Cricetulus griseus: one gene and its partners. The protein of the gene in region 1 purifies or fractionates together with the protein of each later gene. This does not show direct contact. Links are inferred from orthologs where the notes say so. Each region holds a gene or a part of one and is shown in the gene's direction. Other genes may lie near its edges. The genes, in order: Hdac2, Znf217, Sp1, Mier2, Arid4b, Pml and Trps1.

The links.
Region 2: the proteins of Hdac2 (region 1) and Znf217 purify together in Homo sapiens (affinity purification with mass spectrometry; 6 studies listed by BioGRID and IntAct, with this or other methods). This does not show direct contact. The link is inferred for Cricetulus griseus from reciprocal best matches to the Homo sapiens genes HDAC2 and ZNF217.
Region 3: the proteins of Hdac2 (region 1) and Sp1 purify together in Homo sapiens (affinity purification with western blotting; 11 studies listed by BioGRID and IntAct, with this or other methods). This does not show direct contact. The link is inferred for Cricetulus griseus from reciprocal best matches to the Homo sapiens genes HDAC2 and SP1.
Region 4: the proteins of Hdac2 (region 1) and Mier2 purify together in Homo sapiens (affinity purification with mass spectrometry; 3 studies listed by BioGRID and IntAct, counting the BioPlex papers as one, with this or other methods). This does not show direct contact. The link is inferred for Cricetulus griseus from reciprocal best matches to the Homo sapiens genes HDAC2 and MIER2.
Region 5: the proteins of Hdac2 (region 1) and Arid4b purify together in Homo sapiens (affinity purification with mass spectrometry; 4 studies listed by BioGRID and IntAct, with this or other methods). This does not show direct contact. The link is inferred for Cricetulus griseus from reciprocal best matches to the Homo sapiens genes HDAC2 and ARID4B.
Region 6: the proteins of Hdac2 (region 1) and Pml purify together in Homo sapiens (affinity purification with western blotting; 3 studies listed by BioGRID). This does not show direct contact. The link is inferred for Cricetulus griseus from reciprocal best matches to the Homo sapiens genes HDAC2 and PML.
Region 7: the proteins of Hdac2 (region 1) and Trps1 purify together in Homo sapiens (co-immunoprecipitation; 4 studies listed by BioGRID and IntAct, with this or other methods). This does not show direct contact. The link is inferred for Cricetulus griseus from reciprocal best matches to the Homo sapiens genes HDAC2 and TRPS1.

The regions. Positions count from the first base shown.
Region 1 is NC_048595.1:259,855,914-259,859,413, forward strand, and holds part of Hdac2 (histone deacetylase 2), read left to right. Parts: intron 1-731; coding exon 732-824; intron 825-899; coding exon 900-1,008; intron 1,009-3,500. UniProt on the Homo sapiens protein: Histone deacetylase that catalyzes the deacetylation of lysine residues on the N-terminal part of the core histones (H2A, H2B, H3 and H4).
Region 2 is NC_048599.1:9,219,970-9,223,469, forward strand, and holds part of Znf217 (zinc finger protein 217), read left to right. Parts: intron 1-1,318; coding exon 1,319-1,435; intron 1,436-2,044; coding exon 2,045-3,500.
Region 3 is NC_048595.1:398,783,863-398,787,933, forward strand, and holds the start of Sp1 (transcription factor Sp1), read left to right. Parts: upstream 1-1,271; 5' UTR 1,272-1,519; coding exon 1,520-1,526; intron 1,527-1,962; exon of another isoform or gene 1,963-2,099; intron 2,100-3,237; coding exon 3,238-3,395; intron 3,396-3,681; coding exon 3,682-4,071. UniProt on the Homo sapiens protein: Transcription factor that can activate or repress transcription in response to physiological and pathological stimuli.
Region 4 is NC_048598.1:100,337,989-100,342,013, reverse strand, and holds the start of Mier2 (mesoderm induction early response protein 2), read left to right. Parts: upstream 1-1,225; 5' UTR 1,226-1,285; coding exon 1,286-1,294; intron 1,295-1,317; exon of another isoform or gene 1,318-1,450; intron 1,451-1,503; exon of another isoform or gene 1,504-1,612; intron 1,613-1,712; exon of another isoform or gene 1,713-1,839; intron 1,840-4,025. Other genes in the region: mucin-1-like, read left to right, coding at 382-1,072, 1,164-1,225. UniProt on the Homo sapiens protein: Transcriptional repressor.
Region 5 is NC_048596.1:237,192,700-237,196,934, forward strand, and holds the start of Arid4b (AT-rich interactive domain-containing protein 4B), read left to right. Parts: upstream 1-1,435; 5' UTR 1,436-1,686; intron 1,687-2,474; 5' UTR 2,475-2,523; coding exon 2,524-2,529; intron 2,530-4,235. UniProt on the Homo sapiens protein: Acts as a transcriptional repressor. May function in the assembly and/or enzymatic activity of the Sin3A corepressor complex or in mediating interactions between the complex and other regulatory complexes.
Region 6 is NC_048597.1:169,821,363-169,824,142, reverse strand, and holds the end of Pml (protein PML), read left to right. Parts: coding exon 1-333; 3' UTR 334-2,280; downstream 2,281-2,780.
Region 7 is NC_048603.1:4,197,342-4,201,352, forward strand, and holds the start of Trps1 (zinc finger transcription factor Trps1), read left to right. Parts: upstream 1-1,211; 5' UTR 1,212-1,369; coding exon 1,370-1,379; intron 1,380-2,248; exon of another isoform or gene 2,249-2,374; intron 2,375-4,011. UniProt on the Homo sapiens protein: Transcriptional repressor. Binds specifically to GATA sequences and represses expression of GATA-regulated genes at selected sites and stages in vertebrate development. Regulates chondrocyte proliferation and differentiation.

The DNA.
Region 1 (3,500 bases):
AGCAGTGGGGTGCAGGATATCACACTGTCCTCAGATGGTTGTGGATTAGGGGAGGCCACACAGGGTCTTTATCCAGGATCAAGGGCACAGAGGACCACATAGACCCAGGGCTTCTTGGTAGGTTGTGTGGAAGACTGATTTTTGGGACCCTCACTGGGATTGTGGTCACAGGGCTCCAGGGTGGTGCAAAGGGTGCGGTTGGTATTGGCTCTGGAGACCTCCCTTACCAATGGTTCTGGGTCATAGGACACCTTTCAGTTTGAGAATGATGAAGTAAGTGGGGTCTGCCTTTACATCTTGTAAAATCATTTCATACCTAATCAGATTGAGGTTTGTAAGAACTTTTTACTTTGTTTTTGTGTGTTGGGAGTGATATGAGTATGGCACGTTAAAGGATACCATGCAAGAGTCAGTTCTCTCCTGCCATGTGGGTGGGTCCTGGGGATCAAACTCATTGAGCTTTACCTGCTCAGCCCTTCTGCCAGCCCAAGCTACAAGACTTGTGTTTTATTTGTATTAACTGAATGAATGATGCTGTTAAGTTTCTTCCCTAAAACTTGCTTTAGAGCTTAGGAAGTATGTCTACAAATACTGGATCATACACCTGTTTATTTTATTTTTTTTTTATTATTTCCTTTTTCAGATTTGTGTTGCTTGATCTTCTAATCATTTCAAACTAAGTCAAGTTTTTTGTTATGGAATAATCTCTTAAGATCTGTTTTTGTTTATAGGATATTGGTGCTGGAAAAGGAAAGTACTATGCTGTCAACTTTCCCATGAGAGATGGTATAGATGATGAGTCCTATGGACAAATTTTTAAGCCTGTAAGTACTGCTTTCAAAAGTAAAGTGGAGTTGTAAAATATCCTTAGATACTAATGTGTCTTGTTCTGAGTCTAGATAATCTCAAAAGTGATGGAGATGTACCAGCCTAGTGCTGTGGTGCTGCAGTGTGGTGCAGACTCACTGTCTGGTGATAGGCTTGGCTGCTTCAATCTCACTGTCAAAGGTAAGCGCTGCTTCCCACGAAAGTTCTCACTGTGGAGCGCTGAAGAGATGGTTAAGAACCTGGGTTCGATTCGCAGCTCCCACATGATGGCTCATGACCCAATGTTATTCCAGTTCCAGGGGATCTAGCACCCTCTTTGATTTCCACAGGCACCAGGCATCGCACATGGTGTACAACATACACATTTTTTAAAAAGTATTTTGAGAAAAAAAATTTAAGTTCTCATTGTTATTTTTTGCTTGCCAACTTGATGACTTGATGCCAAACTTTGTAGTTGTATGGGTTTTTTTGTTTTGGTTTTTTGGTTTTTTTGGTTTTTTGGTTTTTTTGGTTTTTTGGTTTTTTGAGACAGGGTTTCTCTGTGGCTTTTAGAGGCTATCCTGGAACTAGCTCTTGTAGACCAGGCTGGCCTCGAACTCACAAAGATCCACCTGCCTCTGCCTCCTGAGTGCTGGGACTAAAGGCGTGTGCCACCAACACCTGGTTTGTAGTTGTATTTTCAGTGGGTTTTTTGTTTTTGTTTTTTTCTATTTTTTTTCCCTTTTGTGGGGGGTGGGGTGGGGTTATGTGGCTGACTAGTAATCTTGTTTCCCAGCAAGTCCTTCCTGTGTTGCCATATTTGTGTTTATACATTTATCCATGAATAGTTAGTTGCCATCCTAACTGGCACAGGAGTTGTCAGTGTTTTTAATCCATTATATCAGTTTTAAATAATTTGTTTGCTGTTACAGTGATGAGGATTTGCTCTGATCTGCATGCTCTTCCCACATCTGTTCATAGCTGTAAGAATCTGGGCCATGGCCATTGCTAAACAGCAGCAGCACACCAGTCACTTTTTTGCTGACTTTTTTGTTTGCTTAGTTTCCTCTTTGCTCATTACTAAACTGAATTTGGAAATATATTCTGCTCAGCTGTATCAGGTGCTCCGTCCCTGACCTAAGAATGGTCCTCCTGTTTGAACTAAGTGTCCTCCTGGGTCTAGTGGGACATAGAGCCCTCTGCTTCTGTTTTACTACACCTCCCTGATCAGTGTGCTCTCCATTTCCCTCTTAGTTGTTACCTCTGGCAGAACACGTTTGTTTTGTTTTTGTTTTTTGAGACAGGGTTTCTTTGTGTAGCCCTGGCTGACCTGGAATTCTCTTTGTAGACCAGGCTGGCCTCCGCCTCCCACGTGGTAGGATTAAAGTTGTGAGCCACTACCACCTGGCTTAGAATAAACCTTTTTAAAGAACAAGCCTTCATAGTAAAGTTAATGTTTGGATCAGAAATGGCTTGTCATGCACATTGCATATATTGCAGTAAAGTCCTTTTTTTCCAAGTGAACTTTGCAGTAGCAATTAGCTTTAAATGAAGGCATCTTACTTTGAATTCTCTTATAAGATGTAAAGAATCCTAAAATAGCACTTTTAAAATAACTAAATATAGATGTTAACAACTACTTATGATTGCACTCTGCAGACCAGCCTTAGGACTGTGGTATAAGTCTGTTACCCTACTTCGCGTGTATTGAGTTGGCCACACAAAATTAGTTGCCCACTTTCTTGGTAGGTCAGCATTCAGTTAGCAGCACTGTCAAGTTGTTGCCTCAGAAGTGTTACTAACCATTTAGTGTCAAAGCAGATAGGAGTTCCCTGAAGTGACCTGTCTGATGTGCCCTTCTTTCTTGGTGCTAGCAACTTATACACTGCAATGAGCAGTAACCCCACTTCTAGTGTTTATATTTAAAAGTAGTAGTTTTCATTATAAACTGCATTTGACCCTTACAGTATATATATGTTGTGTTTCAGAAGGTAGAGGAAGTTCATTTGTGTAAAGCACATAAGGATGTTTGTAATTCCATTTTAAGACTTAGAATAAATGCACTTTCCTACGACTAGCCTCAGCTACATTCTCTCAGGCCTAGTGAAGTCAGCCACCTGATGTCCAACTTGCTCCACTTAATTGTTTTTTCCATGCTTCTTCCTCTTTGGGGTTCTAGCCTTCATTTTATAAAATCCCTTTATGGTTACTTGGCCTGGGCTGGGTGGTAGTATGGGATGCTGTTTTGCTGCTGTTCCTGTAGTCTGCATAGAAACTTCTGTCCTCACAAATGTCCACATGGTTCTATCAGAAACACTTGTTCCAGCAGGAGATGCCAGTTGACAATTACATGAAGGAAACAGTTAATTAAACATAAAAATAAACTTCCCTTAGTTAATGGTGATCTTTTTTCTTTATGTCATTTTAATTTTTTCCAAATTACTTTAAACTTTGTTATGAAAAGGTTACAAAAATCAACAAAGCATCACACACTGGAGTTAACCAGACCCCAAGACGGTAACTCACTGATGATCTATGCTGAGCGTTGCAGTGAAATATCCACCCCACACCTGTAGCGCTGACCACACTCAAACAGATGTGGTCACAGGTGCAGACATGATGGGTGGGTTTAGGTCTGGGGTCGGGACAGGTGGCTCTCTCTTGCTTCCGGTGGGGTCACAGAGGGCAGCCTG
Region 2 (3,500 bases), on another chromosome or scaffold:
CAGTCTATACACCCTGACACAGCTGGAGACTGGGTAAGCTGTGAGCCTAGCTGTAAATGCAGTGGGACTATAAGGGCTTCATCCACTGTGCTGTCAGCCAGTTTGTTTCAGGTTTACTTTCAAGAAGGTCAGAGAGTCTGAAGTATTTTCACCATCTCTGGTACCATTTTAGGCCAGGAGTTGTCATACGGATCTCTTTTCCTGGTGGGGATTTGGTGTAAATGGAGATGGCATAGACCCATTCATTACACCTGCTCTTACCCAGGTATATGGACCAACCACTTTTGCAAATTAGTGAGAAGGTAGCTTGTGGCAGAACAGGGAAGAACGAGGCCTGTAATTGGAAATAAGTTTCATAAGGCAAAATGACCAGTTTAAATATGCCATCTTGAACCCAGGTGGGACCTGTGCATTTGTGATGGACCACACCTGCCTCATGGCCCTGATGGCTAGATTGCAAGAGGTGGCTATGCTGGAAAGGCTAGAAACTCACTGGGGGGAGGGGGGGAGTCTTATACCTTCAAGTTGGTGAGCTGGTGAGAGTGAAACCCTAGCCCTCTTTATCTTTAGTTGGCTCCTGTCTCTGGTGGTCCTGCACACCAGGCACTTCAGCCTTGCCTTTCCGGTAGATTCTAATGAGCCTGGTTTGTTTTGCCCACGAGATTGCTTGGAAACCATGAACTCCACCTTCCCAAACTTGGCTAAATTTTGATCAACTTTCTTAGGTACTTGCCCAAAGCCAAGCCAGGGTTTACTGTTGAAGTTATTTTGAGCTTGCTGCCCCCTAGTGGTAACTTCCTTAATTTCAAGCTATTTTCTGCCTCCAAATAAAATTACTGGTTCTGAGTAATGAGGTTTCTCTGGCTAGTGGGCATGTCCACGCAAGTATGAACCAGGTTCAATACATGTCAGGTTCTGTCTGTCAAATGTCATTGTGGTGATTTAGGGTGCAGACCCTGAGTATGCTAGGGCACCAGGCTGTGCTCTGAACATAGAAGAACAGAGTGTAGTGTTGGGCACACACCTTTAATCCCTACCGTAGGGAGGCAGACAGGAGGGTTTCTGAGACCGGAGCTAGTCAGGGCTATAGACTGAGACCTTGTCTCCAAAACAAAAAACAAAAGCACACAGTGTAAGATATGAAATACTGCCTTATGGCATTTGGTATGTTATTTTAGCCTTTGAAACTTCTACCCAGAACTAAAATAAATTATTTTATGGTTTTTTCCAAATGTTTTGTGTCAAGAATACCAGAGTCCACACGTCTGAATCATGTGCTTCGTCTGACTTACACAAATGTTTTTGTTTCTGCTTTAAGATAAAAATGATGATGGAGGAAAAGCAAAGCCCCTCACGTCCTCGAGAGAGTGTAGTTACTGTGGCAAGTTTTTCCGTTCAAACTATTACCTCAATATTCATCTCAGAACGCATACAGGTAAAGGGCTTGATTCTTAAAGCATGTGTTAGCTGAAACTATTATGTGCTGCTCTGTGGTTCAGATGGCTTAAGTGTGTGCTGTGTCCTCTAACATGGCAGCAGCCCGAACACTGGGTCCCGTTTTGAGGCTTACGTTTTGAGGTTTACGGCTGCCATATTCTGGCTCTCATCTTAAGGCAAACCTGCAATATTTTTAATGTCACATTCTTTCAAAACCGCTTTATGATTTTGGAATGAAGAGAGGGTGTATTTGTTGATGTTTGGATGAAGGTGCAGCAGTAGCGTGGGTTAGGAAGTTGTGAGCCTGCCTTGTGGCTTGGGAGCACTGATAACAATCCCCGTGCTCCTATTTCCTTCGCTGTGAAATGTGCAGACTCTGCCATCGGGCAGCAGTGAAGGTCAGTTCAGTAAAAGCGTGCCGTGAGCTTTTCCTGGGAAAGACAGGTTTAAGTGAGTGTTGAGCACACTGGGGCGTGAGCTGTCCTAGATAGATACGAAGATTGGTCGATAGGGAGCAGCCCATGGTTTGTGTCATGGCTTGGCTAGCTTGCAGAGTTTATTGATGTCTTTCCTAAACATCATCTTACACTGGCTTATCTCGTTCTAGGTGAAAAACCGTACAAATGTGAATTCTGTGAGTATGCCGCAGCCCAGAAGACATCTCTGAGATACCACTTAGAGAGACATCACAAGGACAAGCAGCTGGTGGACGCTGCGGCTGAGGTCAAAAGCGAAGGCCGGAGCCAGGAGCCCCAGGAAGCACTACTAACTGCCGACAGTGTGCAGACCAAAAATTTAAAGCGCTTTCTTGATGGTGCCAAAGATGTTAAGGGCAACCCATCTGCCAAGCAGCTTAAGGAGATGCCGTCTGTTTTCCAGAGTGTTTTGGGCAGCACTGTCCTCTCACCAGCACACAAGGATACTCAGGATTTCCATAAACATACAGCCGATGATGGCGAGAAAGTGCGAAAGAGTCCTGCCCCTGCTTATCTGGACATGACGAAAAAGAGAGCAGCAGGCGAGCCTCAGGCCAGCAGCCCTGCCTGCAAACTAGAGGGGGCTGGGCCCCTGGCACGGGAAGCTGCCCATAGGGAGAAGATGGAGTGGGAGGCTGACTGCAAATACAAGCCTGGTGCTGACTGCCAGGACAGTCCTTTGAATCTGTCCCTTGGGCCACTCCACGCCTCTCCTGCCATCACCCTTAACAAGTGTCTCATTCCTAGCATCTCCTGCCCCTTTTGTACTTTTAAGACCTTTTATCCAGAAGTTCTGCTGATGCACCAGAGACTGGAGCACAGGTGGCACCCTGACACCCCCAAGAACTGTGGCAAGTCAGTGTCCAGGAGCCGGCGGACAGGCTGTCCTCCTGCCTTGCTGGGCAAAGATGTGCCTCCCTTGTCTGGCCCGCACAAGCCAAAGGTCAAGCCTGCTTTCTCATCACAGGCCAAGTCCCTGCACCCAGAGAAGGTCCGACAGGGCTCCTCGGGGCCAGGCAAAGCTCCCCAGACATCAGGGCCAGACAGCAGCACTTTAGCCCCAAGTAACCTGAAGTCACACAGGTCACAGCCTAGTACCGGGGGTCCTGGGGCCACCAGGCAGCAGCAGTCAGATCTGTTTCCCAAAGGTGGCAGTGTCTCTGCTGCTGCAGATAAGGTGAAGAGACCCGAGCCGAAGCTCAAGGCCCCGCCAACTGCCCCATCTCAGTCCCCCCTCGGCAGTAGTAATGGCAATGGCTCCATCGAGTATTCTGTGAAGGTTGATGGCCCGTGGGTGCCACAAGGGAGAGACTACTACTGCCATCGGAATGCTGGCAGTGCCACAGCAGAATTCACTGAACCACATCCTAAAAGACTCAAATCCAGTGTGATGGCCCTGGACACAGAACATTCTGGGCCCAACGGCAGGAGGGGCTTTGAGCTCCCCAAGTACCACGTGGCCAGGAGTATCACCTCGCTGTTACCATCAGAGTGTGTGCGCCCATCACCTGTGCTGCTCCCCAAAGCCCGCTTCCTGAGCCCTGGGGAGGTGGAGTCGCCCAGTGTGTTGACTGTGCAGAAGCCCTA
Region 3 (4,071 bases), about 140 Mb from region 1:
ACAGATAACTGAGCTGTCACTTATTTTTTCCTAGGCCACCTCAGAGGCAGCAGATACCTCAGTTTCTATCTTCAAAGTGCTTTAAGCTGTCTAAAGGAGAATTCAGCTAGTAGTATTCACTGTAAGTGCTAAAGGTTTTTGGAGGCAAAATGGAAGCCGAGGATTGAAGTGCCTGGGGCAAAATCGTGAACCTTTGTGATTGCAAAAGGAAGTAACTAGGTTACTGTGCTTTCTGCTGAAGCGGTGTTTACGAGTAACGAAGTGAAAAGGGAGTAGTTTAGGAGAGCTTTGATCCCGGAAGTTTTCTAGTCAGTCTCAAAGAGTTCTGGGCCCTCGACTTAGCGCGTTCGGGACAGCTTAAGAAAATGGCGTTTGCTAGAGTTTCCCGAAAGCCTTCCATATTGGTGAGCTCAGAACTGACTGAGCTCTCGAGGGCCGTCACCAAGCTCTCGTCCCGCCCGCCGCCGCAGGGCTTCCACCCACGGCCAGGGGGAGCCGCCCACCCACCCCTGCAGGGGTGGGATTCGAGAGGGTGTCGGGTGCGAGATGTGAAAACTGGAGCGATCCCGTGTGGCGAAACACGCGGCGCTCGCCCGCCTCGGCAGGGACACTTGTAGAGCTGCAGGGCTCAGCTGGAGTGTACAACCTAACGACGTAAGGAAGTCTCCCGAGCAGGGCCAACATGGCGACGAACTCCTTTTGGCACAGCCCCTGTTCCCTCCTCACGATGGGCGGCCCCACAAACGACCATTGGCCAAGCTAGAGGCGGTGCCAGGGCTTTTTCTTCCCCTCATTGGCCTGAGTATCTGAGGAGGAAGCCAGGTCTCCTCTCCCCATTCCAAGTTCCAGCCTTCGCCTTTTATTCGGCGTCTAATTGGCTGTGAGCTCATGTCAATATGCATCCTGTTCCGGATCGTCTCAGTTATTGACCAATCAGAACTTTCTTAACTGCCCGCCTGAATCCTGATTGGTTTAGATAGCTTGATCCTATCCCATTCCGGCCTATTTCTTACTCTCCTACTAAACGGACTTTGCCCCGGCATGCTCAAGATTCTAATTGGTCCTTGTCCTGTCACTCCTTCCTAAGCTCGTCCTATCACCACCGTTCACGGAGCCCGCCCGGCGAATCACTGGTTTCTCTCCAAGTCGATCTTCCTTATGTCCCGCCCACTCTCACTTCCTGAAGCTTTTATTGGCTGTTAGAGCTGAGAGGGCGGCCTTTTAAGGCGGACACCAGCACGCAAGTTGGTCTTACCCGCCTTTGCGAGGGAACGAGTCTTCCCATTGGGTCGTCTGCCCGCCTTTCTACTGCAAGGCTCTCCTTTCTCCCTCCTTCATTGGGCGGGGCAGCAGATAAGGGGCGGAGACTAGGCCGGGCTTGTGGCGCGCTGCTCCCTCCTCCTTACCCCCCCTCCCTGTCCGGTCCGGGTTCGCTTGCCTCGTCAGCGTCCGCGTTTTTCCTGGCCCCCCCCAACCCCCCCGGACAGGACCCCCTTGAGCTCGCCCCTCAGCTGCCACCATGAGCGGTAAGGATGAGTCCACTCCATGCCTAGGGGTGGGAGGGGAGTGAGGGGGCGCGCGCGAGGGCCGACCGGGCGGTCCCCGCTGTGAGGGGGGGCGGGCGGGAGGCGGCGGCGGCGGCCTTGGTCCCGCCCGGGGCGGAGGGAAGGGAGGGAGAAGGGGCAGTCGCGGGGCCTCGGAGGAGGAGGGGGATGGGCCACCCGCCCCGGGGGAGGGGGCAGCGTGGCCTCGCCCGCCCCCTGCCCGCCCCGGCCACGGGGGACGGGCCTTACCCCCCACTACTCGGCCTGCCGCCTGAGGCTCCTCCCGTCGGGGGCTGGCGCCGCGGGGGCGGCCCGACCAGTGCAGGCCCCGCCTGGGCCAACCGCCTCCCCGGTCCGCCCTCCGGTCACTGCCTGCCCCAGGCCCTCCCCCGCACCCCCGAACATTTCCCTTCCCCCATCTGACCCGCCCTTTCCACGCCCCTCACCCCGAAAACGCCCCTTCCTTCTAAGGCCCGCCCTCTCAGCCCCAAACCTGGGTTCTAAGCCCTAGACCACTTTAGCCCCTTACCTGTATCCTCAGAAGTGTCCCTATCGGTACTTATGATGTACTCTGTCTGTTCCTGTTTTTATTTATTTAGCTTTACACTTGGTCTTTCTCCATCTCTCTTAATCCTAATTTTAGCACATTTTTCCATCCAACCACATGTTGGGTCTCTTCTTCCTCCCAGAATGCTTTTTTTTTTTTACTTTTGAGACAGGGTCTGTGTGGTACTATGAAAACCAGGCTGGCCTTAAACTTTTAGCCATCCTCATGCCTCTTCCTCCTGAGTGCTGAGATTACAGAGTGTGCCATGCCAACACTAGGGGCAACTAGTATTCCTGAGATACTGCCCTCAAATTCCCTTTTTCAGAAATGCTATTTGTCTTGTTTAAGGCCAGGTCTCACTCTAGTCCAGATAGACTTAGAACTGATGAACAGGTGTGAGTCACCATGCCTGGCTTCCAAAGCACTTTTTTGGGGGGTGGGGGTGGGGATGGGGGTTTGAGACACGGTTTCTCTGTGGCTTTGAAGGCTGTCCTGGAATTCACTCTGCAGACTAGGCTGGCCTTGAAGTCACAGAGATCTGCCTGCCTCCGCCTCCTAAGTGCTGGGATTAAAGGTGTGTGCCTTCACTGCTGCCACCACCACCATCCAGCTCGAAAGCGCTTTCTTTTTGGTTTTTTAAGACAGGGTTTCCCTGTGGCTTTGGAGGCTGTCCTGGAACTAGCTCTTGTAGACCAGGCTGGTCTCAAACTCAGAGTGATCCACCTGCCTCTGCCTACGGAGTGCTGGGATTAAAGGCGTGCGCCACCACTGCCCAGCCCAAAGCGCTTTTTGAATGGTTTTTGACTTTAATTTTGTACATGGGGAAATAGTGGCCCATCTTGGACACCATTGAGGCACATGCCTGTTCTGCATGCCTGGCATGAGATGCTGGCATCTCAACTGATGTAACTGAAAATTTCTTTGAACTCTTATTTCTCTTGCCTCCATGTCCCTCTTGCCTCCACTTCCAAATTCTGAGATTTCAGGCCTATCACCATATCTATATCTGGCCCTATTTCCTTTTTTACTCTGCTTTTAAACATTCTATTAGTCATTAGGCTGGTTATCAGAGCCTTATTTTAAACCTTTGGGTGATTTTTTTTCTCCTTCTTCCACTTTAAGTTATTGTTTTGTAATTATTTTTAGATCAAGATCACTCCATGGATGAAGTGACAGCCGTGAAGATTGAAAAAGGTGTTGGTGGCAATAACGGGGGTAACGGTAATGGTGGTGGTGCATCTTTTTCTCAGACTCGGAGCAGCAGCACAGGCAGTAGCAGCAGCAGTGGTGTCGGAGGAGGGCAGGTGAGTGATCAGTCAAAGGTGGGGAAGGTGTTGAGGGTGTAAATATTCTTAGAAAGTTCCTTAATCAAAAAGCTGGGAGAAAAAAAATACAGTAGTGAAGTACACACAGAAAGATAGATGATCTAGAGGGTCCCCAAATAAGAAAGTTGGAACAGTACACAAAAGTCAGCATTTTATTTCTGGTTTTTGCTCTTTATATGCCTGCATTGTTGCTGTTTGTCTGTTGAATACTGCCCCCTAGGCAGGCTATTGGGTGCCACTAACTCCTTTCCTCTCTTCTGGCCAGGAATCCCAGCCATCTCCTTTGGCTCTGCTGGCAGCAACCTGCAGCAGAATTGAGTCACCCAATGAGAACAGCAACAACTCCCAGGGTCCGAGTCAGTCAGGGGGCACAGGTGAACTTGACCTCACAGCCACACAACTTTCACAGGGTGCCAATGGCTGGCAGATCATCTCTTCCTCCTCTGGGGCTACCCCTACCTCAAAGGAACAGAGTGGCAACAGTACCAATGGCAGCAATGGCAGCGAGTCTTCCAAGAATCGTACAGTCTCTGGTGGGCAGTATGTTGTGGCTGCTACCCCCAACTTACAAAACCAGCAAGTTCTGACAGGTCTACCTGGAGTAATGCCTAATATTCAGTATCAAGTAATCCCACAGTTCCAGACTGTTGATGGG
Region 4 (4,025 bases), on another chromosome or scaffold:
TGCAAACCCAGGTGTGTCTCCAAGTGTCTCCCATTCTGACTGCCCCACCTGACATCAGGTCTGTTCCTGAGGCTCCCATGTGCTCCTGCTCGCTACCTCCTGGCCTGTATCCCTCACCTCAGCAGCACCCCCTCTCATCCCTAGACCATTTCCCCTCACTTCAGGACCATGTTCCACCCCCTCCACCACCCACCTGTGGCTGTATCCTTCATCTCTGGACTATCCCCTCTCACCTCTTGTCCATTCCCCATCACCTCTGGACCACAGCCCTCACCTCCAGACCATCCACTCATTCCAACCCCTAACCCCCATCGGTAGACTGGCCCGCCACCTGTGGAACATCTTCCTTGTGGACCGTTCCATGTCACCTGTCACTTCTAGATCAACGCCCCCTCACCTCTGCACCTCTCCCTCACCTCTGCGCCATCTCCCTCACCTCCGCACCAGGTCCCTCACCTCCGCGCCAGGTCCCTCACCTCCGTGCCAGGTCCCTCACCTCCGCGCCAGGTCCCTCACCTCTGCGCCATCTCCCTCACCTCTGCGCCATCTCCCTCACCTCTGCGCCATCTCCCTCACCTCTGCACCAGGTCCCTCACCTCCGCGCCAGGTCCCTCACCTCCGCGCCATGTCCCTCACCTCTGCGCCATCTCCCTCATCTCTGCGCCATCTCCCTCACCTCTGCACCAGGTCCCTCACCTCTGCACCAGGTCCCTCACCTCTGCGCCATGTCCCTCACCTCTGCGCCATGTCCCTCACCTCTGCGCCTCTGCGCCATGTCCCTCACCTCTGCGCCTCTGCGCCATGTCCCTCACCTCTGCGCCATCTCTCTCACCTCTGCGCCATCTCCCTCACCTCTTCGCCATGTCCCTCACCTCTGCGCCATGTCCCTCACCTCTGCGCCAAGTCCCTCACCTCTGCGCCATGTCCCTCACCTCTGCGCCATCTCCCTCACCTCTGCGCCATGTCCCTCACCTCTGCTCCATGTCCCTCACCTCTGCGCCAAGTCCCTCACCTCTGCGCCATGTCCCTCACCTCTGCTCCATCTCCCTCATCTGTGGACAGTTCCCGCCTGGTAGCTGGGCATGCACACAGGAATCAGCCCTTTGGCTGATGCCAGGGCGGGACATACAGGGCTGAGGCTATATACCTCCGCTCCGCCCCAGCACACCTACTACGTGCCTCCTGCGTCCCGCCCCACCCCGCCTCCCGGCGCCTCCGCCAATAAGCGCGCGGCACCGCATCCGGGGACCCTCGCGGCCGCCGCCTCCCGCGCGCACGCTCGGCCATGGCGGAGGTGAGTGAGCGGCTGGGCAGCGGCCCCTCCCACACGCCGCCCTGGGTAGACCTGGTCCGGCCCGTGCTCTCCCACCCCGAGCGCTCCGAGCCTCCCTACCAGCCCCGGGCCGGAGCGGGAGCCCCGTGGGCGCTCCCGCCCCCCATCTCAGCTACGGTGCGCATGCGCGGGCGGGGGGGAGGGGCGCGAGGCGCGGGCGGCCGGGTGCCTGGCCGAGACCCGGGGCCGCGCGGCGGAGGGCGCCGTGGACGGGGTGGGCGGGCAGGCGGCGCTGGCGGCCGGGACGGCGACGCAGGGACTGCAGCCCGGCGTGCTGGGGTGAGCACGGCGCGGAGTCCGCGGCGCTCTGCGAGCGGAAAGTTTCGCGCGTGGAGTTGGTCTGGCTGTGGGAGCTCGGGCGCGGGCCTCCCCGCGGGCGCGGGGCTGCTGGGCTGCTGGGCTCAGCCCCGCGCTCACCTGCACCGCGGAGTGCGGCCCCTGAGCCCCGGGACCAGCCCTCACCGAGGCGCCGCGAACCCGCCACTGCGGGACTGGAACTCAGCACGGTGCGCGAGTGGGGCCGCTGGGGTAGCAACAGGCCCGCGCGTGGGCCACAGGGCCGTGCTCCGGGGGCCCCGTGGTGTCTTCCTGGCTGCTCGATCCGGAGGGCTCTTTCGGGCTCCTAATGAAACAAGACGGGCATGCTTTCGGGCATGGTGGCTGAGTGGTGGCTCCTGGGCTCCGGGGAGGCTGCTCTGCCCTGGGTGGCTTGGGTGGAGACTTCCCAGACTGTGCCTACATCCTGTCCTGGAGTCTAGGATTCAGAAGGTGCCGGCCTCAGTTTCCTCTCTGAGGGAGCCGGGTAGTATCTTCCCGTAGCTGAGAGGGTCGGTGGGATCCTGATGTGTCTTCTGCTCCTGTGGCGGGGTTCATATATTTTTAACTCTTGAAAGTGGGCATCTTGCAGTCCTTGGTTGTCAGCTGCTTGGTTAGCGTGTGTCTCACAGGTGGCTGGTCTCGCTACATCTTTTCACTGTGCCTACCCACTGTGGTCCTCATGAGACCACCTACCCCCTGGGTTTCTTTCTAGTTCTCTGAATTCCCATGGAGCTGCCTGCCAGTTGTCCCGTCTCTGACCCCAGCTTCCCAGCCTCCACCTTGTTTTCTTCATTCCTCTGTCTTGGTTGAGCCCCCATCAATTTGTTGTCCCATGTTCTAGCTCCATGTGGGTGGAGACAGGCTGAACCCGTCTCTCAGGATGGCCTAGCTGCTGCTACAGTGGAAGGGTGAGGCTGGGGCACCAGGGGCACAGGGACCCTTGCCTGGGTGTGGATGTGGGTCCTTTCTCTTGAGTCTTGCTCTTTAAGTATTCGTTTGTTCTGGCCTCTCATACTTCTTGTGGTTCACTGGGACTCTTGTGGCTTGCCATTTGTAGGTAACTGGCTGGGCTTGGAGTTAATGCTGAGGCTCCTCCCCCGTGGGGATGTCAGCTGTCACACATACATGAGGTCTTTGCAGGACTTGGGCTTTCTCATGGCGACCGTCGTTCAAAAGATGCTAGATGGAATGCTGGGACCCAGCCTCCAGAGCTGCGTCCCCTGCATCTTACTGGGAAACCTGCCTGTGAGGGGCTGCCGGCACTGTGTCCCTGCTTCTGACAAGTCAGGGTGATGGTGTCCATGCCAACCCACTGCATCCTCTGTTCTCAGAGACCTTGCTGGGGGCCCACTTGCCTCTGGCCTCTTCCTTGGGAATCAGCCTCTAATGTGTTTGTCCTGTTGTCACCTGGATCATCTTAAGGCTAACCTCCCTCCTGCCACAGAGATCTGAGGGCTGGCCTTTGTCTTTCCTGATGTGGGGAAATAGGGTCTTGGAACCCACCCTTTAAAGTGTCATTAAAGTGATGTGCTGGTTTTCCAGTGACCATGTTTATATGTATGCCTTGGTCAGTCAGTCTTGGGGACTTTGAGGATCACCTGGAGATGGACTTGGCCAGGTTGGCAAGGAGCAGGCTGTGTGGTTTCTCAGTTGGCTGCATCTACCACTGTTGTGTTCTCAGAGCCTTTCTGCCTGAGCCCCTATTTAGGTTGACCCCTGGCCTAAAGCAGGAGGGTCTTCTCATTCTGTCTGGATAAAGAAGCTGTGGGACTGTTGCTGGCCAGTTGTGCAACTGTGGTGCCCTTTGGTGTCCCCCCTCTTAGTTAGGGCTCCTGATTGTAGGGACAAAGGGACAGTCCCTGGGCATGGTTCCAAGGACACTAGGGCAGCCTCCCAGTGCCTTCACATTGGCCGGTGGGTCTGGTAGCCTGTGTTCCAAGGTTAGGACGCTTCGCCACACCACACCAGTTACAGAGTGTAAGATGCTTGACAGCCTGCCCGAATGCCATGTTTCTTCCTTGCCTCCAGGCCCTGCGGCTGTCCCAGGTGGACCTGCCTCCTCATCTTCCTCAGCTCTCTGCCTCCAAGTGGGGGCACCTCAAAAGCTAGTTGGGCTATGGTCACTCCTGAACCTTGGGGGCTTACTGGCACCTCTTCCCAGGGGGATGCACCCCGCGCCTCCCACCACCCCTTTGCTGCATGGCAGGGTGCTGTATTTCGATAGTGCTTCAGAGTAGATGGGCCTGGCTGAGGGGAGGGGCTTCTGGAGTCCTTGCTAAATAAGTATCTTGATGTCTCTGGGCTGTAGTTTGCTTGTTTCATCTTCTCGAGGGATGAATGCTTCACCACTGAGGTTCTCTGAGGACCTAGAGCT
Region 5 (4,235 bases), on another chromosome or scaffold:
GAATCCAACGTATCCTATTGTTCACTGGGCCATTAGAACAGATTAAACCTGTTTTAATTTTTTTTCTTTCTTTCTGGTGACAGGGTCATCCTGTGTAGTCTAGGATGGCCTACCATGCACAGTAATCCTCCTGCTTCAGTCTCCAGGGTGCTGGATCAAAATTCCTTAACCAACCTTCCTCATCATACTGGCAAAGCTTTCTCCTGAAACGGGTTCCCAGCATGTTCTTTCTGGGCTCTCATTTCCTTTAGGCTCTTCTGCTGGCTTCTTGAGTCAAGCTCTGTCCTCACTCCTTCAGGAAAACCGCTCTATACTTCCCTGAGCCAAAGTTCTAATCCACATCCTCCTATCACGCTTCACTTTGTCTGAGCAGACGCGTTCAGGAAGTTGTACACGGTCCATCTCGTCTTTCCATTAAGATGACTGACCTTCTCCTAACATCTCAGAGGATAAAATCAGCGCATCAGCACGCATACAAATATTGAAAATTCCATGCAGAGTATTTATTTATTTTTTAATAGGCAGGCTCTGACTTGAAACTAGCTACAGATAGGGGCTACCAAGAAACGCAGCTGAGACGCGCACAGCAAGATCTTTTCACTCCAAGCCGGGGGAATGATAGCTCTGGGGAAAAGGGCTCGACACGGGCAGCGGTGTAATAAGCTCGCAGGCGGGCTTCTCCCCTGAGCCGCATCGGTACCCCCTTCCACTCCTCGGAGCTCCTTTGCCTCCCACGCGTCCCACCACCCGGTCGCTAGTCACCCCGATCCGGGTCAGCATCCGGGTCCTCTCCCTCCTTTCTTCTTCCTCCTCGGTACCCCCTCCCCCGCTCCCCATCCGGGTCCCCCCCTGCCGCTGCTCACGGTTCCACGATGATCTCAGACTTCAAGCCGCCGGTCCGAGACAAGCAGTACCCACATCAACTTCTCACTTTTTAGTTCAGACCGCGGCTCTTCGCGAGACCTCCTTGGAGCCCTCCCACTACTTCACCACAGAAATCTCCGCCCTCCTCAGCGGCCACCGCCGCCGCATTACTCGGTGCAAGAAAATACGCCATCCCTGTCACACTGCGCAAGCGTCGTATGCCACCTCCCCTCTACCTTATGGCCGCGCCCCCTTCCCCTCCCCGCTCCCGTCGAACTCAGGCAAGGGGCATTGCGGTCTTGGTAGTTCTTATGTCCGAGAGTTTGCCAATTGGCTCGGAAGAGTGGACTACAAATCCCAGGAAGTATCGAGGCATAACTTTCTGTTTCCATAGAACTGGTGGGAAAATGGCGTCGTTGTTTGCATCGCTCAAACCAATAAAAACTTGGAAGAGGCGGGCTCCGAAGAATCCTAGCCAATCCTAGATCGTCTGAGAGGCATCCGGGAAAGAGGTAGGGGAGGGGAAAAGAACCGAGGGGAGGGGAGAAAGGGAAAGGGGGGCCGGGGTGGGGGGAAGCGATGTTTGCCCGTCAGTCGAGTCCGGAGTGAGGAGCACGGGCGCCGGAGCGAAGGGAGAGTCTCCAGCCACAGCTTGCCGCCGCCGCGGCCACCGCCTGGACGTCTGCCCGGAGGGAGCCGCAGAAGGTCGGCCGCCGCGGTCCTCGGGAGGGCAGCGAGACCGGGGCCCGGACCTCCGTCTGGGAGGGATTTTTCGTCGCCCCCCTCCCCCCGCGAGGGAGCCGGAGCGGCCGCCAAACAAAGGTACCAGTCGCCGCCACGGGAGGAGGAGGAGCCGGAGCCCCGGCCGCCGGCGGACCCGCAGCTTCTTCGCCATCTCTCCCCTGGGCCTGCTGGTGTTGGGGGGTTGGGGGGGGAGGCGGAGCGGGGGGACTCCGGCCGCACGCCTCAGACCTCGTCTGCCCCGGAGGTAGGGGCATTATTTTTCGTGGGGGAAGCTCCGGGCCGGGCCGCGCAGCGGGGCAGATGGCATCGGGGCTGAGTCGTCTCTTGCAGCGGCGCCTCGGCCTCCCGGGACCCCCGCCCCCCGCGGTGCTGAGCCGGAGCCGCCCTTCCCTGGCCGCATCGTGGGCCCCGCGGCCTCGGCCCGTGGGGCTGGGAACTGGGTGTCCTCGGTGCCCGTGCCCGGCCCCGGCTCCCACTTGTGGGCCCGGGCTCGGGCGGGACGCGGACGGGCTCTGTGGGGTCGAGCCGCCGCAGCCCGAGGGCCCACCGGTTCACTCAGGGCTCAGCCCCGGGGTTCCGGGCATCGCGGTTCCGTGGGCTTGGACGGCTGCAGCCGCGCTCCAGGCCGCGCCGGACCCTGCGCTTGTTGTGAGTTTTCTTCTGACAGAAATGGCGTCATCGTGGAGGACGGAGAAAAGTCCGTGGAGTCGCGACAATGGGGCGGCAAGAGGAGGGCGGTGGGGGCGGTAAGGGCTCTGGGATGGCGCGTGCCTGCTCGGGCTCCTGGCCCCACTCGGTGCCGCCCCCGCCCCGACGGCGCAGGGGGTGCCGGTGGTACTGACCGGGTGTCTTTGTTTCCCCTCCAGGTGCAGGTGAAGCTGGTGTCGCCGTGGGGATCGCGGCCCCAGAGTCACCATGAAGGTAAGGCGTCACTCAAGCAGCTTGAGTGGCTTTCGAATTCAGGAAGTGTAGGGGCCGTGTCTGTGGCGGGCCTGCGAGTTTTGCAGAGGCAGGTGTGTGGAGTGGCTTAGTGAGGAGCTTTCCCTGGAGACAGAGGGTCAGCTGGTGCGAACATCCACGGGCTGTGTCGTGGAGTTGTGGAGTCAGTTAGGAGACTGTGTCACCAAAGCTGTGCGGCTCCGGAATAGAACAGCGAGCGCCTTTTGCATGGAACCTTAGGAACAACTGAACGAATTAAAGCGTCTTAATTCATAAAACAGAAAGCTGGTCTAGTAACCTGACTCTTGAAACAAACAGTACTGCTATACAGTGGGTCTGTCTGTTAATGCCGATGAAAGAAAATTTCGTTTGATTGTGTCTCAGAGCCATGAATTTTAAGCAAAAAAAATTTTTGAAGATGTTTGAAGCAGTTTGTTGCTCTTTATCTTTAGCAGTTTGTTGCTCTTTACCTTTAGAGATCTATTTGGCCTGTTGCACCTTGTATTTCCAGGGACTAAGGGTTGTGTGGTTCATTTTTCTTGGAGTTGTCACGTGCTCTGCTGTGATGTGTTGTGTGGAAAACTGATGGCCAGGTTCCTCTAAGTAAATATGTTGACCGCAGAATAGCTTCTAAGAAATGTGTCTAAGAACTAGTTTGTGAATTGGTGGAATAAATCATGGCAATAAAAATACAGGTGTTTTTTTTTTTGTCATTTTAGGAAATTGTAAAGTTTTTTTTTTTTTTTTTAATTCCAGTGGCATGAAAAGATTTGGGTTTCTGATATATCTAGATTTAACTGGTTGAATCTTGATACTAGAATATTTTTTCCTTTGAATCTATACAAATTAAGATGTGCTTGAAAACGTTAGTAGTGTGTGTTTACCCGATTGAAATGTAACCGATAACATGTCAGAATGCAAATGGCATCTACTCTTGACAGTTCTTTTGGGTTGTTTTCTTCTTTTGTTAAAATTATTTTCTCTTATCTCCAGAGTGAGAATTTCTTTTGTAGGACTGCATCCAGGTAGAGTTTCAAAAGCTTCTTTTTTGCGGGGGAGGGGGTTTTGAGGCAGGCTTTTTCTGTGGCTTTGGAGACTGTCCTGTAACTAGCCCTTGTAGGCCAGCCTGGTCTTGAACTCACAGAGATCTGCCTGTCTCTGCCTCCCAAGTACTGGGATTAAAGGCAGGTGCCACCCTCCCCCCCATCTTCTGTTTATAAAAGAATATAAATGCTCTTGCCACTTAAATATTTGCTTATTGTACAAAGCAGGTTAGCCCATTTTTAAAGGTGTTTTTTTTTTTTTTGTTTGTTTGTTTTTCTTCAAGTTTAGGGCTCTGTAGATGGCTTGGTTTTTGTTTACTGAGTTCCTGTCTTACTTTCATGTGAATGAAAACATAACCAGTGATATGTCAGAGATGAAACCCTTTTCTTCTTAGTCATAGGTGTATAACCTGAGTGAAAACTGAGTTTATTAGGAAAAGGTCAGGTTTTTAGGAAAAGCATGTAATTGCCTTGCTGTTTGATGAAAACTTGGGAAAAAATTTTAAGTTGACTGATACATGTTTAATAAATTTGGAAGATGAATACATTTTCGGAATGTTATAATCTGTCACAGTTCCCATTATAATGCCTGCCTGACATATCTTAGAATGTAAATGTTTTTCTGAAAGGGTTATACCAAATTGA
Region 6 (2,780 bases), on another chromosome or scaffold:
AGTAACTTACAGTGCTTCTCTTCCCTGCAGCCCCTAGTTCAGGCTAGTGTCCTGCCCCCGGCCGAGGCCCGCCTCTTGGCCCTCCACAATGTGAGCTTTCTAGAACTGCTGACTGCATACCGCAGCAACCAGCAAGAGGGTTTGAAGAGGTATGGCCGCTATCTGAGCCCGCAGACCTCTTCCTCATCGGCTTCCACCCAACTTGCTCAATACCTTCAGGCTCTGAACACCTACATGGAAGAACTGTCAGAAGGGTGTGCCCCAGCCAGGTCAGAAGGTAACTCTACTCTCTCTGGCCAGAGCTTGGCCAAAGAGGCCTCCGAGCAGAGCTGACAGAAAGGGATATCTGGCTTAGCCGGTAGCCACAGAGGGAGGGGCATCCTTGAGCCAGGCCCCACCCTTCACCACATTCCCAGGCCCTGCTCTCCAACACAGAGCTGTTCTTTAGTTCGGAATAGGTGCCCTTTATCTGGGACCAAACACTCTTTCTCTAAAATTCCTGCAGCAGACATCAAAGGCACCCCAGACCTAAGTCCTTCCTCTAGAAGACAGAATTAGGAAGACTTTACAAGGTGTGGCCTCTGGGCTCTCTGATTGGCCCTCATATGGCCCCAGGCACCTCACCTACAACTACCACGGGGGGCCTTGCAGCTCCTCCCTGATGCTCAATCAAAATGTCCCAAGTGATCTGCTGGTAGCTCCCACGAATAACACCCTCAGGCAGAGGTCCTCAACCTGCAGGTTGTGACCATTGGAGAACTCACATTTCTGGTGGTCTTAGGAACCCCCAGCCATAGCTGTAACCTTGCTGCTGAGCAGTGTCTCAATTGCTAAGATAATCAGAAATAAGTGTTTTCTATGGTCATGGCCCACAAGGTGAGAACCACTGCTCTAAGACAATGCTTACCACTATACCAGCAACCCCCTGGGCACCCAAAGTGCCTCTCAAACCAAATTGCCCTTCATGAATTTGGGTTCTCCCAGCTTCCACTGCCCAGAGACCAACTGTGCTCATGAAAAAAAAAAAAAACACTTCCATTCCAAAGGGGCCTTCTAGCATCAGAGAGCTAGAAGCTGTTGCTCCATCCATATCCCCGTTTCTACAGACTGACACTTCCAACTTTGTTCTTTGTTCATCAGGCCTTCTAACCCCCCTTGCACTCAGCCCTTTCAAGGGACACCCAGTAGGACACTTGCATCGAGACCTTTGGGAAGGTGGCTTTACCGAGGTCCCCAGAATCAGGCTGTCTGGAGTAGAGCCTGCAGCATTAACAGGTTCTCCGGGCAACGCTGTCTGCTCAGTTCTGAGCATCACTGCTGTCACAGACCACCTCCCCATCAAAGGGAAGTAGAGAAAACACCTGGCTGTGTACACTGAATATGATTAGGCCAGAGCTCTAGTGTTCTGTGAAATGAGCTGGCTGGCCTGCATTTTTATCTCAGAGTCCCCAGCCAGTTCTGTCATCCTGGTCTCTCAGTGTGGACAGCAGCTTGCTGGCGCAGCAGATAAGACCCTACCTCTCATGCCAAGCCACTGGTCCCCAACCTTATGATCATCTTGAACGTCAGCTTCCCTATGCTTATCTGAACTGTTGCTGGTGTTGTCCACCTCCTCACCCATTCCCTGCTTCCTGCTTCAAGGAATTTCCCAGATAGCCCAGAGGTCCGGTCTTGATAGGTTTGGTGGTCTCCACTTTCAAGTGAGCGATGCCTGCCCACACCTCTGACCCGTCCTGATGTTTGAAGGCATCCTGTAGAAGCCCATTTCTACCATGGTGAGACTGAGCTCTGACAGCAATCCATTAGAGCTCTGGTTCTGGGTGGGGCTGAGGATGTCGAGGAAAAGAGGCTAAGACCCTCGCCTGGCTATACAGGCAAGGCAGTGCTGGAGCCATGTCTCATACTGAGTCCCAGCCCCACCAGGCTGGCTGTCTTCAGTTTCAGCTGCTGCAGATTTATGACAAAGGGAGGAAAGAAGCCCTGTCCTGTCTGATGTTGCAGCCCTTATATGTGAATTTTTTTATTTTGGTTTTTTAAGGCAGGGTTTCTCCATGTAGCCCTGGCTGCCCTGGAACTCACTCTGTAGACCAGGCTAGCCTCAAACTCAGAGATCCACCTGCCCCTACCTCCCAAGTGCTGGGATTAAAGGTGTGCGCCACCACCAACAGGCTTATTCAGTAACATCATCATTATACCCACTGCCCAGGTGCCCAAGTCCCACTCTGGAGCTTTAATCTCTTAGTTTGACCTTTGACCAAAAATATCAAAGTTTAAATATGCTGTGTGTGCCATTTTCTTAAAAAAAAATTCTGTCAAGATTTATCCCACTACCACCAGCAACCATCAAAACCTTATTGGACTACAAGTTAGGGCACTGGAATTCAGTTCTTGGTAGCCAGTGGCCACAATGTGGCTGTTAACTCCCTGATTACAGGCAGCTCCTTTGAAAGTGAGATAAGGTGTATTGTATTTTACTTCATGAGGTCTTTGATAAGCTCAATGAGAAGATCAGTTTCCTGATCTTAAGGTCTTATTTCACAAACAAGATGAGAGTTAGCACTTTATAAGAAAGCCAACAGCAAATCTTAGCAAAATAGTAATATTAATACACACTATGTTGGGGCAGAGTGCCTAGGCCTGCAGGAGCCGATAAGAGTCTTGTAGCCTCTGAGCAATAGTTGACTCTGTGTTCCTTCCACACCCACTGGGAGAAGGACCTGGAGTAGAGAGCAGGCTTCCTGGAGCCCCTTGGCTCATCTCTATCCCAGCCCCTCTTTGGG
Region 7 (4,011 bases), on another chromosome or scaffold:
CGGGTGCTCGGGGCGGGGCGGCGGCGGCGGCGGCGGCGGCGGCGGCGGCGGGGACGCGCCTGTCTCTTTAAGGGAGCTGGGTCTGGGGTGGCGCTTTCCTCCGCGAAGGCTCCTTTGATATTAATAGTGTTGGTGTCTTGAAACTGACGTAATGCGCGGAGAGTGAGGTCCTGACAAGCGATAACATTTCTGATAAAGACCCGATCGCGTTGCAATCTCTCCTCCAGCGTCCTCGCGCTCACCGCTGCTCGCTGCCTCCGGACCCCGCGTCCTGCCGATCGCTCCCTCGCCTCTGCCTATATTTTATTTTTTTAATTATTATTTTTTTTAAAAACAACAACAACAACAACAACAACAACAACAACAACAACAAAACCTCAACAACACCCCCTCCCTTCTCCCACCCGGCACCGGGCACATCCTAGCTCTATTTCCTTTCTCTTTCTCTCGCTCTCTCTCTCTCTCTCTCTCTCTCTTTTTTTTCCGGGGGGGGAGGGAAGGGAAAGGGGGGGAGGCAGGAAAGATCTTTCTCTCCCCCCCCCCAATAATCCAAGATCAACTCTGCAAACAACAGAAGACGGTTCATGGCTCTGGCCGCCGCGCCACCATCTTTCGGGCTGCGGAGGGTGTTCCTGACGATTAATCAACAGGTAAGGGGGAGCCTGGCGGGCGGGCGGGCGAGCGGGCGAGCGGGCGAGCGGGCGGGCCGGGGGGCGCGGGGCTCAGCCGGCCGGGGCGCCGTTCCGCCAGCGCTGCGCCCCGCGCGAGTGTGCGCAAAATGTGGGCGATCGCGAGCGGGGAGCCCTGGGAATTAAAAGTGACTTTCTTTGAAAAAAAAAAAAAAAAAAAAAAGCCCAGCCGAGGGAGAGAGAGAGAGAGAGAGTGTGCTGCAAGCAAGCGCAGGCTTCTCGGGTTTCACACGCATTTTTTTCTTCCTCCCCCCCCTTTGCGCGTGTGATTTCTTTCTTTCTTCTTCTCTTCTGTTCCCCTTCGTCCCCCCCCCCACAACACCAACCACCCCCCCCAATTCCTCTGCCCCCTTTGCTGGGTCTAAGGCATCTGAGCCTTGGAAACCAGAGAGACTTCAAACTGCAAGTAGCCCCCAGAGTCAGGAGGGTCAAGTTCAGCCGCCGGGGAGGAGGAAAAACAAATCCCGATTTGCCAAAAAAAGAAGTTTCAGGCCGGTGCCCCCTCCCCCCCCCTCCCAGCCCCACTCCCCCTCGCTGCTGTCTCTTGCTGGCTGATTTTAATTCTCTCCTACCGGGAGCAGCAGAGAATCTGGAGGTGGCTGGACCCGAGGGGCCGCCGCCGCCGCTGCTGCAAGTTTTCTGGGGGCTCCTGACAAACGGGGAGCAGACTGGGCACCGGCATGCAGAGTAGTAAGTTGGGTGAACTTGGCTGGGTCGGGAGGGTTTCCGAGAGGGGGTCCTGGAGTGGCCCTCGGAGTGGTAAAAAGAAAGAAAAAAGAAAAAACAAAAAACAAAACGGCATAGACTGCCTTTGGTTTTTCAAGAGTTTAGTTTGCAGAGCCAGGCTTCAAACTTTTTTTTTTTTTTTTTTTTTTTCTCTCTTAAAGGCCCAGCTGGGCTACAGGGAGAGAGGGATTGTGGCATCCCCTGGTGTGCCCGTCTCTGGGCAGCTCAGGGCAGCTCAGGGCAGCCTGGGCCCAGGGGTCTGTGCCCTGTCGGTACCATGAGGCAGGCAGGGCCTTGCAGCCAGGGAGCTTCCGTAGGGGCTGAGAAGGGGCAGACTTCCTCTGCGGTGCGGTTGATGCGCCATGTGTCGAGCGGGTCAGGGGACACTGGCTGGTGATTAAACGCCTGACAGCGGTGGGACATGCAGGCAGGCAGACAGGCTCTTTGCTCTCTGTCTAGTTCCTGTTTGGGCTGTAGAGTCTGAAACGCATCTTTGAAAGGCCAAGGCAAACACCTCTATCCCTCCAAATAACTCCAGGATTATAGGACCCCATGAATAATTTGAGGGGGAAGCCGAGGTGGAAGCCGTTTGAAGTGCAAAGCTGTTTTTGTGGCTGGAGAAGCTTTTTTTTTTTTTCTTTTTTTTTCTGTGAGTACCTGTCTGCGATGGTGGTGTTTTCCCCTTTCACCAGGGAAGTCACTAACTGTTTTACAGCGCCAGGACTCTAAAGCCATTGAAGTGAGGCGACCAGGGACCAGAGAGGACTTAACTGGGAATCTTGCTGGGGCTTACTACACTTTAGGACCTGGCTGACTTCCCCATATCTTTTTAGGCCTCACATTTGATCCTTTGAAAGTTTTTGAGTCAGAGCCATGGATTTAATGATGAATCCAAATTAAGATAGAGTATCCATCCTTATCCGGTTCTGGGAAATCACCGCTAGCGTTTTTTAAGCAAGGTAAGTGAAGAGAGAGAGGGGTCGAGCCGAGAGGTGAAATCAGGCACAAGTTAGGCCGATTCATTGAACTTTTCTAAGCCCTCCAGGTGAACAGGAAAGGGCCTGGAAGAGATAATCAGCACAAAGGCAAAAATACAGATAAGGGCCGGAGACAAGATTACAGAGAACTCATCATTCTAGGCCTTGTTGGCTAAATTTGATTGCTCAAGGGGGGGAAAAAAAGAACAGGGCTTAAGTCTTCAGAGTGTTGTAAACTCCTGAGCACAAACCCACCAGTCTCAGTCTCAGTCTCAGTCTCAGTCTCAGTCTCTCTCTCTCTCTCTCTCTCTCTCTCTCTCTCTCTCTCTCTCTCTCATTCTTTTCTGCAGGTTTTAGAAAGAGTTGGTCATGTAAAAAGGCTGTCAGGGTTAAAGATGTTAGGGACTGTCAGGAAAGTAATTGCAGCTAGCAAGCAGGTCCCTGACTGGGCAAAAAGAGAAGGAAAAGTCTCTAATCTCACAGCTGGGCAGCTTCTTCCATGCAGTTCCCTTGCTTCTGAGGCTCTCCCAGTTAGCGTAGCACTTGTGTGGAAAAAGCAAAGGTTCGAAAATAATCACCATGAGGCCGGCTTTCCCTCACTTTTCCTTTGCCCAAGTATGACAGGCTTGTGAATAAATACAGGGTTTGTATGGGAAGATGAAGCATTTCCTGTAAGTTTCGATGCTGACAGGACAGTCTGGAAATGATACCAACATTTGAGGGTTCTTTTTTTTTTTGTTTGTTTTAACCTTTGAGTGAAAGTTTATTAATGGCCTGCTCAAAGTTCACAACTTAAACTTATATGTTCATTGAGTTTATCCTTTGGTAGATTTCCTAACTTCCTTTTAAAAGCTGTACACTTGTATTGAAAACATCTCCAGTCAAGTTACATAGACAGGGCCGTGAGTGTGCTGGTTGGATGATTATTTCCGGGTTTTAGTACTGTGGAAACAACTGCAAAGGTGGGAACAGACTTACAGTGACTCTGTGCTGCCGTGATTTCTCCAAATGTAAGGCACTGGGAAGACCTATCAGTACAATACGGCAAACTACTACTTGCCTCTCGAGAGTGGATATTGGTGGCCTCCTGATGTGCCTTTGGTGTGTGAGCCTGGAATACTTTTCCAGGCATAATAACCAAGTCTGACACTCTCCGAATAACTGGTAGGAAGTACCTAGCAAAAAAAGTTTGTCACTCCGGAATTTTATATAGTGCTGCTGGGTTGCTCTTGTCCTTTGTTAGAGCTGACATGAAAGGTGTGGAGGAGAGCTGCCAGAGTGACTGTGACTCCTGAGTTGAATTCCGAGCTGCACACTTTGATTTCTAATATTGTGAACGATTTTGCAGAAATTTCTGGATACTTTCAGACAAACCCGTTTGGTATCCAAATTGGTGTGCATTTAATCACGAGTGACCTACATAGACCCTTACTTTGCTTTTGGCATCATTTTTGCTTTTCTTTTAAGTCCTGAATTTATTCTAGTTTCCACTGTAAGACTCTGCGAGATGCAGAAGGGAATATTCATTCATAAGAAAACCTTCCAAACACGGAAATGAGTGCCTCGTTGGGAATGCTGCCTTTAATAGCCTGGTATTTCAGTGGTGCTTTTACTAATAT